Drosophila melanogaster: one gene and its partner. The protein of the gene in region 1 purifies or fractionates together with the protein of each later gene. This does not show direct contact. Each region holds a gene or a part of one and is shown on either strand. Other genes may lie near its edges.

Region 1 (8,743 bases):
ACTGGCTCCACGCCTCGTGATCCGTGATCTCGTACTCCCACGCAGTCGGAGCGCCTTCTTTGATCGCTTGTTGCCACTTTAATCTTTAATTCGCCGCACTGTTCCGATTTCCGCTCCTGGGAACTGTTGATCTTAAGTAACAAAACCGAAACCGAATCTCAATCCGAATCAGAATCTGAATCTAAATCTCAAGTGGGAGCTCTTTTCGTGCGACCGTTGCGCTGCAGCCCCCAAGAGAGAGTGACACACTGAACGCCACGGACTCGGACTGCAGGGCTCGAGCTCCAATGCTCCCGTTCTCCCGCCGCTCTCTCGCCACAGTGGGCAAGGTGGTGGATTTTTCGAACATAATATTAATTATAAAATATTCAAAATAATCACACAGCATATAATAGTTTGTTACATAACTATTTTAAGTTATAAACATATATTTCTGTTATATTTAAATAGTATTGTTTATACTCGACTGTTTAAGTGCTATATCAGCGATTTGTACCACTGTGCCGTGCTCCACTTGCTCCCGCTCCCACTCACCGTGTGTGCCGTGCCAAAACGGAGATCTCCACCTCCCGTCTCGCTCGCTCTCCCTTTCTACTACTACGATGCCGCGCCCCTTTGTTTTCATTCAAAATTTCATTAAAGGATGCACACATGCACACCTCCCCTCCCCCACACACACACACAAACGCACTGGTCTGTTGATTTGCATGCACCAATTACTTTATTTTCGTGATTACACATTTACACTGTGATTACAACGGGAACCTGGAAACAGATTAGGTTCTGATCGTTCGCATCCTTGGATTCCCACAACATGCTACCTTTCATCTGGAACACAGAGAGAAATATATTATATATATATAAAATATATAATTAAGAATATGTACGAATGAATATTAATGGTGATTTGTAGAGTTTATTGTAAGGGTTCTTTACTTACCACCGGCAAAGTTTCGTTCACAAAGATATTGGCCCAATAGGCCTTTCCACCACTTGCGCTCTCTATGCATCCGTGATCTCCGTCGCAGGGATCGGGAGTTATGGCCGCCTGGGTCTTGATGTAGTTAAACACCCATCGGACTTCGTGCTTCAGAAAGCTGACGCCATTGCCTGTTAATGGGATAAAATAATAAGTTTTACTATAACATAAAACAATTATACTATTACTATCATTTTGGCTTGGCTGTACGTTTTTTATCAAAGCTGAAACTCTAATCCAATTATCTGAACATGTTTTGCATGCTCTCTTTAATCGAATTTTTGGCCAATCTTCGTTTCAGCCCCCTATCGCAAATTAGTACTCCAAATGTTCGATTCGTGCTGAGATCAATCGTTTCGATTTCGTCTCCATTTCTGCTGATTCATCAAAATACCATTAGGCGTTTAATTTATTATTTATGGATCGACTGTGGGGCTGAGCCTAGGTTGCAATCGAAATGCATTGAACATAAACAGTAGTAGTAGTAGCAGCAGGAAATTCGGTGAGTTTTTGTAGATATACAATCTTCACCAGCTTATCATTATTGCCACCATCATTTGACCATGCATATTCAGGGAATTCAGGGGGTTCCAAAACACCTTGCCCCACCCGAACATCCGCCATTCACCTGATCGAAGTTCTTCGCCCGCACCACATCTATTTTTATTTCCGACTGACTTTTGCTCAGAACGCGAGTCGAGTGTACGTTGCTCTGAGAAATCCCAATTCCGAATGCACGGATCTGCTGTTATCAGCGGAGCACCTACATACCATTATCATCGAAGCGCACAGTAACCTTAATTGTCGCGTTCCGGGCCATGGAGCAGGGCAGTGTCGTACAGCTCTCGATGTCCAGGTAGCTGACCTGGTACAAAGAACCTAAAAGAGGCAATGGAAACAGATTTAAAAGGCACATAAAACCAGAAGATATGGATCTTTTAGCTTTAGATCTTATGCTAACAACATGCTAAAATAGTTCGTAGTTATTCCTTTAAACATAATAAGGATACGATCCATAGAGTAGGTAAGGTTGGGCATTCTATCCTGAATGGATTTGGTTACGTGACATAGTACATGCCATTCAACCATATAATTAACACCTGGCAACAAAGTAAAAAACTTTACTCTCAGCAACTAAGCCGAATTATCTGCGATCCACACAGGCGATCGCCTATACATACTATATACGCATTTCTAAATAATCTATGACCAAGTGCACTTCCCAAGGCCGTTAAAAAGTTTCTATCTTCAAAAAATGAACCGCGTTCAGCATTAGATTACAACACTCAATTAACTTGGCTGCTCATTGATTACTGCCCCCCCAAAGTGGGCGTTCGCCTGTCTATCAGCGTCATAAGGTAATCCCCCATAAGGGCGTCATATCTGTTTGTTTACAGTTCCTCAAATCTAGAACATAAATCATGTATTTACTGTGCACAGTCCATAAATACTCCATTTAATCAGACATCGTAAAAACCAGAATACAATTAATAGCTCGTGTTTTGGGCAACCAAAACTAGTTAACGAAGGTTTGATGCCCTAAAATCAACTAAGCTGGGTAATTAAAAGTAGTTAAAAATAGGATTTCTTTTTCCTTGACTGCAAAATGAACAGCGTCAATCTAATTTTATATTCTGTTGATAATGAAAAATTGAAAACAAGTAACTATATTCGGGTTTTTTGTTGATGTCATTGGAATATCACGTTTATTACGCCCACAGATCTTACCCACTTTCAAATTAAGCTCTGATAGTATTTTTCGATTATGGTAATGTATCATAAATTAGATTTATCATGTCACAAGTATAAAGTGAAGTTAAAGGCGCTACTATCGGGGAATTACTCTTTATGACTATTATATATATTCGTTACTCATAGAGTAATAGGGTATACTATATTCGTTTTTTGATATTTCCATACGTAGTTCTTAAAATCCTATAACCATAAATTTATATTTAATCTCGAAATTGATTGAATTGCAAGATTGCAAGATTCAATCCTTTGCTCGGACTGCCTTAAGGTGACTAAGGGGTATCTGATGGTCGAGGAACTCTGTTATATCGTTTTCTCTTTTGTCAGATTGCGCCCTGTGAAATTTACAATATACTTGGCAGCGATATAATCTGAATTACAGTGCACAATATTGGATCCATTAAAATTCCCGAAAATGGGTGTTGCGGAAGTAATTCCTTATTATTGTATTATTATAGTATTATTCGGTAGGTCGATTTTCCACCGGAAGATAATATTTTAGTAGAATGATTTCTAATTCTAATATTTTTTCGAATATAAAGCTTTTGAGGTTTCTTTTCGAATGCATACCTTAACAAAGCCATGGTGTATAAGAAAACTGCTCGAGATATTTTCTTACCGTTTTTTTCCCCTGTGGAAATCAATTGATTTTATACGTTGTCTGAATCGACCCACCGAAAAGCACTGATCCTGAGATATACTTACCGCAATCCTCGAAGGGCAAAGATCTTAGGGACAGATATTTTTTGTAAACAGCATCTCTGGTAGACTTGATCGTTCCGCCGGCCAATTCGTGGGCAGCGCAAATAACCAAGAGTATTTTTAGATAGTAATCCATTAGGGCGCCGCGCATGGTTTAATCGACTGAGATCTTGATCGCGGTTTGATTAGAATATCGTCCAAACGAATTTTGCGTAGGTGTGCAAATAAGAAATGTTAATAACAATAACAAAGCAGTTCGTTAATCAGGATCACGGGCTGGCAACGTTTTTTTTTGGCGATACGATTTGCTTGGTGGCTATTAGGTGACTGACACCAAGAATAGTGGGTACCAACAAAAGTAGCCGGCCTCTCTTCGATTGGAGTGCTGGCACTCTCCGGGCAAACGTAAATAAATAAATAATTCGCGGACGCCTAGGCAATAAACTTTGATTTATTGACTGGAAGCCGATGGGAGCAAATAACGCTGACTTTCGCTTCAGCTCCAACTGATAAGGTCAGCGAATCTCTTTGAAGATTTCCAAACGGGAAGTCCGTGACGTAGCTGGAGGCGTGTGTGGGTCTGAGAGTGGGTGGTTGGGCGGCGGGCACGCGTGTGAGTCGCGCCTATAAATACACGAAAGTAAATCAAGTAACGCGGGCGATGTATTGATAAAAGTAACCAGCCACTTGACTTTAATTGAAAGTTAAAGAACATGGCAAGCCATAATTAAACATCATTAGATAATGTCCCCTTTAATAAATCAATTTAATCCGTAGACAGCGAAGGTGGAAAATTTTGGAATGTGAATCATTCTGGACGTCGAACTCCTCACTCAATAATACCCTTCAGATAGTTGGTGTTCTTGATGATCCTGAAATCAGTGCGCAGCTGAATGAATTGCCGCACCACCGACTTGTCCAGATAATTCTAAATAGAGTGGGGTGGATACAGATGGTAACGTAAGACTATCGCTCGACATCAAAGGCACCGCACACTTACCAGAGTGTCACCCGTGCAAACTTCTTGAAGGTTTTGGGGCTTAACAAGTAGTAAATTGCACAATGCATGCAGTATGTCAAACAGCTGCGTGACCAGTGGACTATCCAGCTCGCGAATGCACTTGCGATACTCGTTCACGTCGCAGATGGCACACATGGCGCCAGCCGTGTTGAACTGCATGGTCTGCAGGTGATCGTAGATTACTCGGTGCAACCGAGTTCCAAATTCTGTAAGAACATTCTGCAAATTCTCTCCATCAACACATTTTTTAATCTGCACAATCACGGGCTGCAGATTCTGAACGACTTGTAAGCAGGCCTAGAAAAGAAAAATAAACATTTTTAAGGATAGACAGATAAGCTCGATTTTACTAAATTTATATCTTACCGCTGAAGATATTGTATCCACATCTGTTTCCGGCTTGTAGTCCGTTTTCTTTTGTTCATATTGCAAATATACCTTGACCCAGCCAATAACAGCGCTAATAGAGCGATCAAGACCCTGGTCCAGCTTTGTCTCGATTTGCTCCATCAGAATACGTTTTTTGAACACATAGTCCGAGTACTTGGGTGTATTACTAGAAAAGAATACATTATACATTCTATAAAATGTAAATTAACAAAGTCCTAACATACCTCACACAGGGTATGACAGATGTGTGGCACAGCTTGTCCAGTAGATGGACAATGATGTTCGTCTTTTGCACCACATCAAAGAAGTAGAGCTGGGGAAAGACCCTGCCCTCGGCCAGTGGCACTGCTTGCAGTCCCAACTCCAGTGCGTAATCTACGTGCTCGTGCATCAAGAAACGAAGAAGGATATCGTTTAGCTTTATAGCATTGCCTGGTAGTTCGGTCTCGTTGGACAGCAGGCGACAGCGCTTAAGCGACGCCTTGGCCTCCTGCAGCATGTTGATGGCCAACTCTTCGGATAGGAACGTCTCCCCGCCATAGTCCTCGATGGCAGCAATATTTATGTTAGCCCGCGTGGCTATCAGCACCTCCATGTTTCTCCGAAAGCCCTTAGTAGTTGCAGTCTTTTGGTGTTTCTTGCTGGCATAGAACTTTTCCAGCTCTGTGGAACACTTGGCTGTGAGGCATTTGGTCTCCATTTCGGCGTAGCCGGCCAAATGCTTTATAAAAATCTGCTGTGTCAGCTTCTGTAACAAGTCGTCGTCGATCGTGGACATGTAGATTTGAAGATCTGTTGACAATTTTAGTGTGCTGCAAAGTGGTTGTGAAATGAAAGTAATCGCAAATTTTGACATTTAACGTAACTTCTGAATGACTCACCGCGAGTATAACTCATAAAGGGTGCGAAGATATTTCTCCTCGTCTTTTTTGTCCTCCAACTTAGTCATGGCGTACTGGTGAAGCTTCAGTTGATATATGTTAAGTATGAACTTGGACATAACCTGCTGCGGATTGGCAAACACCTTCTGGATTATCTCGTAGTGATGCTTGCATAGCGGTACAATGCCTATAAATATGTCTTTGCCACTGTACGGTTGCATTTGGCTCTGCTCGATGTATGCGTCTACACACTGAGTGTAACCCTTGAACTGGGACAAGATCTGGGCCAGTGTCTTCATGCGCTCGATGTCCTCGCTCTTCTGGGCGGTGGCAAACTCTTCGATCAACCGCCGCTCGACTTCATCGTATTTCTTTTCGATTTTTCTTTTGGATTCCGCAAAGTTTCCGGGCGGCAGATCCTGCGAGATAGCGTAGAGCTTTTGTATCACATCTGCGGCCTCACTTAATCTTGCGGCATCCGCAAAAATATCGTTGACAATCACAGGGCCAGCGGCTAAAAACTCGGACATAAAATTGAGTAACTTCTGGGCCTCCACTGAACGACTGCGTGGAGTGTTCACATTCTCCAACTGTTCGCCCAGGTGCATGATCTTGCCGGCCACCGAATTGATTTTTTCGTCCAGCTGGCCGAACACATCAATGGCCGTTTGGTGGCGTTCTTGGAGCTTGGCAATCTTTTTGGCGTGCGACTCCTTCTCCTGGCGCAGTGACTCCTCTAGCCGTTCGCACTTGCTTTGTTGCTTCTCCTGCAGGATCTTTAGGTCCTTAATGGTCTGGATGAAGGTATCGTGGAGGGCCACAGGATGAAAGTCCTCGCTGTTCTGGAGTTCATTGTTGGTGCGCCAAGTCAGACGCTCTATGAACTCGCCCACCTCAAAGGGTTCCTGTTGGTTATGATTAATAAATATAAGCCATAATCGGGCCTACGTGACCTTTGAGCCCACCTGTTCAAACTCCTCCATGTATTGGGATAGCATTTTAATGTATTATTAAGTTTTCGTATTTAAATGATCTGATTTAATAGGCGTTTCTTTTCTGCTTCTTCTTTCTATATTATTGTTGCTTCCGCTCAGCTGTTTCGTTTAAGGTTGCCACACTTCTCACTTTCTTTCAGCTGGCAATGTCGCTCGGTTTGTTTACGTTTTTGTTTGCTCTCTTAGCTAAAATTTAAATGTTTGGCGGTTGTTATATAACAAATAGTATGTTTACAATTAAATAAAATAAAACAATGCTTTTATGTTTGCTGATCTTAATCAAATGTTTATTATAATATGAATGCGCGTCTTACTTATTGCCTCGTATCAAAACCACTTTTTTACAACAAATTGCAATGTGCTAAACAAGTTAAAATTTCAAACATTAATATTTTTTATAACCTTTATAATTATTGCGTGGAGTCAGCGATTTATTAAACCTTAGTTACAGTTTTGAACTGAATATGAAAATATGAAGAACCAATAACTTTTTTTTGTAAATTTTCTGTGCGGGTTTTCCCAATAGACATTTGTTTAGCGAAGGAAAGCTAGTTCTTATTTGTTTTTACAAACTGCGTCTGCTGCTACTACTGCAGTTGATCCTGTTGCTGTTGCTGCAGGTGCAGGTGCGGATGCGGATGTGGGTGGGTGAGCGTGTGACCGATGCCGCCGGAGGTCGACGGCAAGTCCAAGGCGTGCGGCACGATGTTGATGGCACTGGCGGTGCTTGCCGAGGAGGCCAGATCCACGGCCGGCGGACGCACTTCGTCCTCGAACTGAGCGCCACCGGCCATGCTGTTCAGCACATCCGGAATAGTGGGCGTGTCCACTAGCTGGTGCAGGTTCTTCAGCTCCGTGGAGCGTAGGCTGGCGGATAAGCTCTCGCTCGAGGCCAGCGACGTGGATAGCGGTGAGTTGCGTTCAATGGATGAAGCTATGTCTGTGGGAGAATGCAATAGTAAGTATTCTTTAGCTGCGAAGCAGCTCTTGCACTCACCAGTTCTGTCCGTGTCCGGGGAACAGGTGTTATGACCTGTTGTTCCTTGCGGCTGCTGCATCATCATCATCAGCTTCTCCTCCATCTGCATAATTATCTTCTTTTGCACGTCATACTTCTTGTTCACGGACTGCAAGGACGACGATTTTTAAGGCTTATTACTCTTAATTGAAATGAAGTTACTGGTAAACACAGACTATTTCTTAAAAGTCCGAACTATTTCAGATAAGTATACGATTTTAAATATCAGCCCTACCTTAAACTTTTCTTCGTACTCATCCTTGACGGTGCTTAGAAGTCGCTTTTGCTCCGTCATGGCCTTCTCGCTGTTGGCTAGCTGGGCCTGCAGGTCGCTGATCTTGTGCTTCATGCTTTCCAGCTGTGATGTCTTCTCGTCCAGGCTGTGCCTCAGATCTTAATAAATAAACTGAATGATTAAACATCCGTATCATATAAACAATGAATAGGCACCCTTCAGTTCCAGGTTGCTGCTCTCTTGTAGCATCTGCAGTTCCTCGTCGCGGGCCCTGAAGTTATCGATCTCAGCCAGACGGTCGCGGCAACGCACTTGCACCTCACCCATGATAATAAACTCGGCCTCCAGTCGTGCCAGCTCCTGCTTGCACTGCAGCCCAATGTCCGCCTGCTGCTGGGTGTGTTGAAGCTCGGTTCCCAAACTGAAGACCTGACCTCGCAGAGACTCCAGTTCATAGTTCATCTCCTTGTGGCGCGCCAACTCGCTGGTGAGTCGCGTCTGCAGGTCATCGTTTGCCTGCCGCAGGCACTTCTTTTCCTCCAGTTCGTGCTGGTACTTAGCCCTCATTTCGCCCAGCTCCTCCTGGTGGATGTTCTGGCGCTCGTTGGCCAACCGAATGGCCTGATCCATTTTGTTTGCCAGATCCTTGTTCTTCGCATCGAAGTTCTTAAGCTGCTCCCTTAACCGATCCCGCTCCATTTCCAGGCTGCGCTTGTCCCTGCTTCGCCCCATGAGTCGTCGATTGCGCTCTGCGTGAATGGATCGACGGT
Region 2 (6,970 bases), on another chromosome or scaffold:
ATAAACCCTGTGGGAAAAATGAGATCAATCCTATTTTCCAACTAGATGTACGAGTATTACGTCAGGTGTGGCGCTCCTGTGCTGAAGAACTGGTAGAACAAACGCTGTTCGTCCTGGCAAACATGCACCAAAAAGGCGCAGGCGCTTCGGGTGAGAGAGCAGTGATCCCCTTTGTGGGCCACCTTAACGTTTTGTATGGACAGATTCACTGCTGGCGACATAACGCTGGCTCTTTGCGCCAAGTAGTGCTGTTGAAGATCCGCCATTAGTTGGGCGTAGTCGAGGCTGTGTTCCGACCGGGACTCAATCAACTGGGCGACCCGCTTCACTTTTGCCGCGGCCGTTTGATATTTGCCGTAGTACAGAGCGAATGCGGCATCTGGTGCCTTGAGAGCAGCGGAGGCATCCGGCATATTGTTCTTGGGATGGAGCGTGGCCTCGGTTGCCTGGTTTATCACACTCGTCACATAGTTACGCACCAGACCCGAGGCTTTGGCCAGGCACTGCCTGTACTTCACATTGTAGGCGGCCGCATCCTTGAATTTGGGCTGTGACAATGAAGGATATTAGTATATACATGACCGAAGTGTAACAGACAAGCTCACATTCTCCTCGATGTAGTTTAGGCATTCGTCGATCTTGTTGAGGCACTCCCGGAACGCTTCGCTAGCCACCGAAAGCGTGGGGCTCTGAAGTCGTTGGTTGAGCAACTCCACCTGGCTGAAGTAGTGCAGACGGCGTTGAATCTCGTGACTCAGCTCCTGCAGTCGCTCCTGCTCCTCGATCAACTGCTCGCTGGCCGTGTTCAGAGCGCTGGTCTTTTGCGACACAAAGTCGTACTCGTCGCAGAGGGCACCCAGGCGCTCCATGGCCCCAGCGATCTGGTCCAGCATGTGGGAGCACTCCGCTTTGCGCTGCTCCAGCTGCTGCAGGTATTTGTGGTAGTCGGCATCGCCACGTTGCTCGATCTCGGCGCTGACGTCCGCGAACCAAAGCAGAAACTCATTGGTGTTCTGGAGTCCCTCCGCAGGTAGTCTGATGTCATCGCCGCTTTGCGAAGTTGCAGCTGCCGATGAATCGGTAGGACCCACCTGGGTGGGCGTAGTCGGTGCCGGTGCCTACAAAGAGTCGGGTTGCAATTATACGATTGCCATTCGAGGAGGAGTCGACTCACCGATGGTCCGCTGTCGCGCCACAGATTGGTCAGGACGTCCAGGTGCTCCTCTTGCTGGATACTCAGAGCCGCCAGCGGGTCCGTTTTGGACTCCCATTGCATCAGGCGATTGCGAATCTTGCGCAAATTCTCATTCTCGCTCTGAATTCGTTCGACGTCATCCATTTTTCTGCGGCGGATTTGGAAACAATCAATCAGCTGTTCAGAGATGACCGGTCTGCGCCTTCCAGTGCTGCTCAGCAAGGAGACTTAGCTAGAACTAAAACTCTTGATTGATATAAGTTGCCTTTATTTGAATGGTATCATATGTTAAGTAATCTTTAATTTTAGATTTAATACATTTTAAGCTCTTTTTATGCTCGTCCGTTTCTTACATAAGTTTTATATTAAATATCTGTCTGTTTAGCTTGGCGATTACTTAGCCAAGATTTCACCACTGACGGGACGTTTTCCATCACTGGCAGCATCAATAAAGTTCTGTTCTCTATTGTTTTTATTGCATTTTGATCAGTTTTTCCGCATCATATAGCATACGATGGCGCCGCAGCCAGTGGTTACGGGGCTATCTCCGAAGGAGGGTCCTCCTGGCACCCGCGTTATCATTCGCGGCGAGTTCCTGGGCACCCGAGTGCAAGATCTAATTGGTAGGCGTAGCCTGTCCCAAATAGCTTCTGTTTTCTGATGACTTTCCCTTCCAAAAAAAAAAAATGTAAGGTCTAAAAATCTGCGGTTCAGATTGTCTGCTGTCGGCGGAGTGGAAATCACCCAATAAAATCATCGCACGCACTGGTCCGGCGAAGGGAAAAGGCGATATCATAGTGACCACTTTAAGCGGCGGAGTGGGCACGTCCACGGTTCAGTTTCGTGCATACCACGAGACCATTGGCCCGCTCAAGGAGTCCGCCGTGTGGATCGAGGAGTCGCCCTCGCAGAATTTTGCCTGGGGTCGGCGCACCCTAGCCCAATCCGGACTGACGCAGGAGGATCCACTTGGGCTGTCCATCGAGGGTAACGAGCAGAAGATCCCCGAGGACCTCCGCGATCTCTTTCCCGAAGCCTGCGGGGATCTGTCGCAGGAGCACTTCTCCCCGGCCTGGTTCCTGCTTGAAAATCACCTGGCCACCTCCTTCGAGGATCTCAAGGCGGGCCTGTCCTACTTGAAGCGGAAAGTGGAGAGCCAGAAGGAAGGTCAGTTGTCCTTCCTCAAGTCCAATGCAGGCTCGGTGATTGACCAGCTCGATACGCTGATGAACATCCGAGACAAGCTGCAGGAGGATGTCAAGCTACACGGCAATGAGACCCTAAATATCTTGGAAACATCCATAGAGAGTGAGTGGGGTTTATAGATTAAGATATTTAATTCTAAAATTGTTCGACTTATAGACTCCATTAGCGAATCGCAAAAGATATTCACGGATGTGCTGGTGCGCAAAGAGAAGGCGGATTCCACGCGGTCCGTTCTGTTCGCCCTGTCGCGGCACAAGTTCCTCTTCTGTCTGCCCAATTCGGTGGACAGACGTGCCAAGGCGGGTGAATATGACATTGTGGTTAACGACTACTCGCGCGCCAAGAACCTCTTTGGCAAGACGGAGATTCCCATTTTCCGCAAGGTGCTCGAGGAGGTCGACCACAGGATTCTGTCAATAAGGAAACAACTGCACGAGAAGGTGGTCAAGATGCCACAGAGCGTGGAGCAACAGAAGAAGCTCATCAAGGCGCTGATCAGTCTGGAACTGCAGCAGAGCGGAACTCCCATTGGCGATAAACTGCGCAACATCGATCCCGCCTGGGATGCCATCGAGGCCAGAGCCAAATATCTGGAGTGGACATTTCGCCAGACATTTGATCAGCACACCAGCAAGGATTCGGGTGCCCAGGAAAAGGCAAAGAACAGGGATTCCAGCCAGGCGCCCAATCGGGTTAACTTCTGCGAAGAACTGTGCGACATTGCCGCCTCCCAGCTGCCGGACTTGTGGCGTCTGGGCCAGCTATACTTCACCGGCGAGCTACGCGGACCTCATGATCCCAAGCCAGGGGATTTCAAGCGAATGGTTTTGAACGCCATCGAGAAGTTCTGTGTCTACTTGAGGTTGGCCATTCTCATTGCCACGGATCAGCGCGCCCTGCGTCAGTCCAGCGGCTTGGCTTGGCCCATCGGCTCCGCATCGGCAACACATCAGTTTCTACCCTGGATTCCGCAGTGCCTGCGTTTCACGAGGATAGCCTATGCCACGCTCATCAGCCTGGATCTGCCCTCGGAAGCGCTGGACATCATACAGAAACTGATCGATGAGGTGCGACTTTTCTGCTTCTCAATTATCTTCAAACGGGCCACGGATCGGTGCAAAAAGCTGGGCAGCCAGGAGACCTGGGAACTGGGCGTGGAGGAATATCCAGGTGCCACATTGTTACCCGCCGCCTTGGAAACATTGCTCATCGAAACGCTGGACGAGGTGCAATCTGTGTGCATGCAAAGGGAGACCCGGGAGGGCAATCTCCTCGAGCCGCAGTCGGATGGACAGAGAGAGGTGACACAGCGACTACAAGAATTCCTATCCGCGTTTAGCGCGGTGATCGAGGAGCTGGCCTTCCACTCCCACGACGAGGAGACGCCCACCCACAATGTGTCGCAGCTACTTGGATTCCCCAATGCCCAGCAGCCAGATTCGGTGGCTGGAAGCGGCGGAGCAGCGGCTGTGACCTGGGAGCAGCGCATGCTCTGTTGCCTGGCCAACTATGCGTACTGCAACAAGATCTTCTTCCCGCGCCTTGGTGACATCTTCGTTCGCTACGGTTACCCGCTGCCCACGCTGGCAATCGAAACTGCTCGCTACACGGTTAACCAGCTCTTTACCAATCTTCTGGAGGAGTACGTCGAGCATAAGGGCGATCCGCTGGTCGGCACCATCGAGCCCTCCATGTATCTGGGTCGTTTCCAGTGGGATCACGAGATGGAGATCGGCCAGCTGCGTCCTTACGCTCACGAGTGCTGCGATAATTTGGTTGGTGTCTACTCCGAGATCTACAGCATTTCACCGGCACTGCTGCGACCCATCCTGGAGTCCATTGTGCAAACCATATCCGAAGAGCTGGCCCGTCTGATGAGCTGTGTCCAGCGCTTTAGCTTCACGGGAGCGATTCAGGCCCACGTGGATATCCGTCTATTGAGGGACTCCCTGGAAGGTTACGTCAATGAGACTGCCAAGTGAGTGATCTAAATGAAATACCTATGAATTTCAATAATTCTTCTAATCTGCAAAAGGAACTACTTCATGGAAGCGCTGGAGGCCATCAATCCGCCCCTGAGTGGCGAGCAGAAGCGTAAGGCGGACGAGATTCTGGAGCGGGTCAAGCGGAACATGCGTCTGCAGCTGCTCTGCTTCAGTGTCAAGGACCCCTAGGCACATTCCACTGCAGGGCGCAGCCCATGTAGATAGCGTATACTTTAAGTAGCTTGTGATTACCCATGTTCTAGGGATAAATCTTTATTCGATTGCATAACTCTCTTACTTACTACCACGACTCACAAGCCCAACAGCTTTGGGTCAAAGTTGAAGTTGTTCTGAGCCATGGTCTTGATGACCTGCTCCACATCGATGGTGTTGAACTTCTCCTGCACACGCTGCTTGATGGGGTTCTCGATGGCGTCCATGATCTGGTAGCGCAGCAGGTTGGGAATGACGTTCACCGCAAACTCCATGACGTAGTCCAGCGTTCCCGCTCCGTCACATCGCACCTGTATGTTGCCCATGTCAAACTGCAGATCGGTGATCTGCGCCCGCTTGCGTGTGTCCAGGGATTGGCTCAGGCCAACGGTGGCGCGTATGTGCTGAACCGTAAATTGTACGTGACCGACGCGTGTCATCATGCCCACACCCACCTCCCACTGGCCGGCTCCCGTCACCTGCTGGGTGCCTATTTGCAGAACGACCGACACCGTTTTGTTGGCCATGCCAGCGGTTATGTTGCCCACGCGGTAGAAGCTAGAGATTCCATTGATCCAGGTGTGTGCTAACTGGACACTGAACACGCCCATGGTGCGATTGACATCAGGCAGGTGGTACGGATCGAAGCCCTTCTGCCGAACCATCTTGCGTGCCATGGCAATGGCGCTGTCCAGCGGCGTTATGGAATTGGGCAGTCGGCGTTCGCCCAAGGTTTTCTGGATCATTACGTTGATCTCGCTGCGCAGCTTTTTGTCCGCCTCCTGGAGCATAAATGGCTTCATGGCGTCGAAGACCAAGTTGGGCGCACCGTTCACCACGCTCTGAAAGACACTGCCCACCAGGCCGAGGTTCTGGAAGTCCATTGTCATGTCCGAGAATGTGATGTCGATCTTGATGCGGTCCGTGGCCAGCTGACCGTCTCGTTCGACGGCCAAGAAGGCGGTTGCCTCGGCATAGACATTCTTCAGGACTACTGTAAAGGGTCCATTGGCTTTCGAAAAGAATGAACTGAGGGTGTACTGGCCCTTGACCAGCATCTGGTCCAGCTGGAGGCCACCGTTGAACTGCAGGACAGAGGAGTGGAAACTTCAAGCCAATTCGAATTCAACTTGAAAACTTACTCTCATTTCCTTCAGGTCTAGGTTCATTTTATCAATGCGGAACTTGGACAAGCCATACGCCTTGACCTGCTTCATGTCCAGATTGGCCATGCCCATGCTCTTCTTCACATTGGGCACCTCCAACGGATCGGGCACGGGCACGCCGGGCAGACCCTGCGGATCCTCCTGCTGAAAGTGCACGAGCATGGCCTCCACCTGGGCGGCTATGCTGGCCTGACTCTCTTTGATCTTAAGTGCGTCATCCGACTCGCTGGCTTCCTGCTCCACAGCTGCTCAAAGGTCATTAATGAGTGGCTTAGTTCCGGTAGAGCTCAGACTGGAATTCGTCTTACCATCGCCAGGCTCCTGGGAGTGAACAATGTGGCAGCCACTTGCCATCAGGCCCACGAGCACGACCACTATCAACGGCTTCATCTTTCGGGGATTAGCTGGAGCTTCTGCTTATCAGTTGGAAAATGGAAGAAAACGCGCCAGCCTCCGTTCTCTACTCGGAACAAACACGCACTGTCGACTGGCGCGTTAATCAAAAGATAATGATGAGCCGCAGGCGGCGATCCGCTTATCTAAGGGCGACTCTGCTCGCGGAGCTGCTGATTAAACTCGGAATTGAGATTGAGTGACTTAAGTGAGCGGAAGCGGCCAGCACATTGTAGGCACTCATGGAACTCACTCCACTCCCAGGAACGATGTTCTAGAAATCATGAACTAGCAGCTTGCATGAGGCAAAGAGTGTTACGGTTCGAAAACGGTTTTGAAACCCAAAGAAAATCGCGCATTTTTCTGTAGTAGCAATGCTCATTTTTATTTGAATATTTTAATAGTTATATGTTCGCATATATAATATGGGTATATATGGCTTACTTGAATTGTTGTTCTTAATCCTAGGTTCACGTGCTCAAAAAAATTCATGCTCAAAAAAAGTCTTAGCCTATTCAAAAAAATGTCTTAGCCTATTAAAAAAAAAGGTTTTTTTTAGCTCACAGCATCCACATTTTGGGCAAAGCAATCTATAATTCGCTGTTCGTTGAACGAAAATAATCTTTAGTTTTGACTAATGCTTTACTCTTAAATAGATTATCTTTGCTGCAGCTGCAGAATTGCTTTAAATAGTTATGTATACGACTTTTGGCTTAATACGTATTAAAAAAAAATTGAGTTTTGGAAACGTTTGCTGGATGATTACAAAAATCAGATTGTAGAATGCTCCTAAAAGATATTTGGGAGTTGAT

What was found. Proteins that work in one complex are often made in the same cells at the same time.
Region 2: the proteins of Sec10 (region 1) and Sec5 purify together in Drosophila melanogaster (affinity purification with western blotting, with the first as the bait; one study listed by BioGRID). This does not show direct contact.

Annotation. Positions count from the first base shown.
Region 1 is NT_033777.3:24,132,894-24,141,636, reverse strand, and holds Sec10 (secretory 10), read right to left. Parts: upstream 6,807-8,743; 5' UTR 6,724-6,806; coding exon 6,691-6,723; intron 6,631-6,690; coding exon 5,726-6,630; intron 5,657-5,725; coding exon 5,069-5,656; intron 5,011-5,068; coding exon 4,821-5,010; intron 4,752-4,820; coding exon 4,434-4,751; intron 4,362-4,433; coding exon 4,263-4,361; 3' UTR 4,099-4,262; downstream 1-4,098. Other genes in the region: Npc2f (Niemann-Pick type C-2f), read right to left, coding at 742-828, 941-1,110, 1,751-1,858, 3,437-3,584; Tsc1, read right to left, coding at 7,308-7,660, 7,718-7,847, 7,974-8,131, 8,189-8,743. UniProt on the Drosophila melanogaster protein: Component of the exocyst complex involved in the docking of exocytic vesicles with fusion sites on the plasma membrane.
Region 2 is NT_033779.5:3,455,697-3,462,666, forward strand, and holds Sec5 (secretory 5), read left to right. Parts: upstream 1-1,605; 5' UTR 1,606-1,709; coding exon 1,710-1,818; intron 1,819-1,888; coding exon 1,889-2,503; intron 2,504-2,557; coding exon 2,558-4,379; intron 4,380-4,436; coding exon 4,437-4,575; 3' UTR 4,576-4,671; downstream 4,672-6,970. Other genes in the region: Cog3 (component of oligomeric golgi complex 3), read right to left, coding at 1-7, 61-548, 606-1,118, 1,175-1,339; CG3246 (uncharacterized protein), read right to left, coding at 4,698-5,684, 5,742-6,010, 6,074-6,155. UniProt on the Drosophila melanogaster protein: Component of the exocyst complex involved in the docking of exocytic vesicles with fusion sites on the plasma membrane.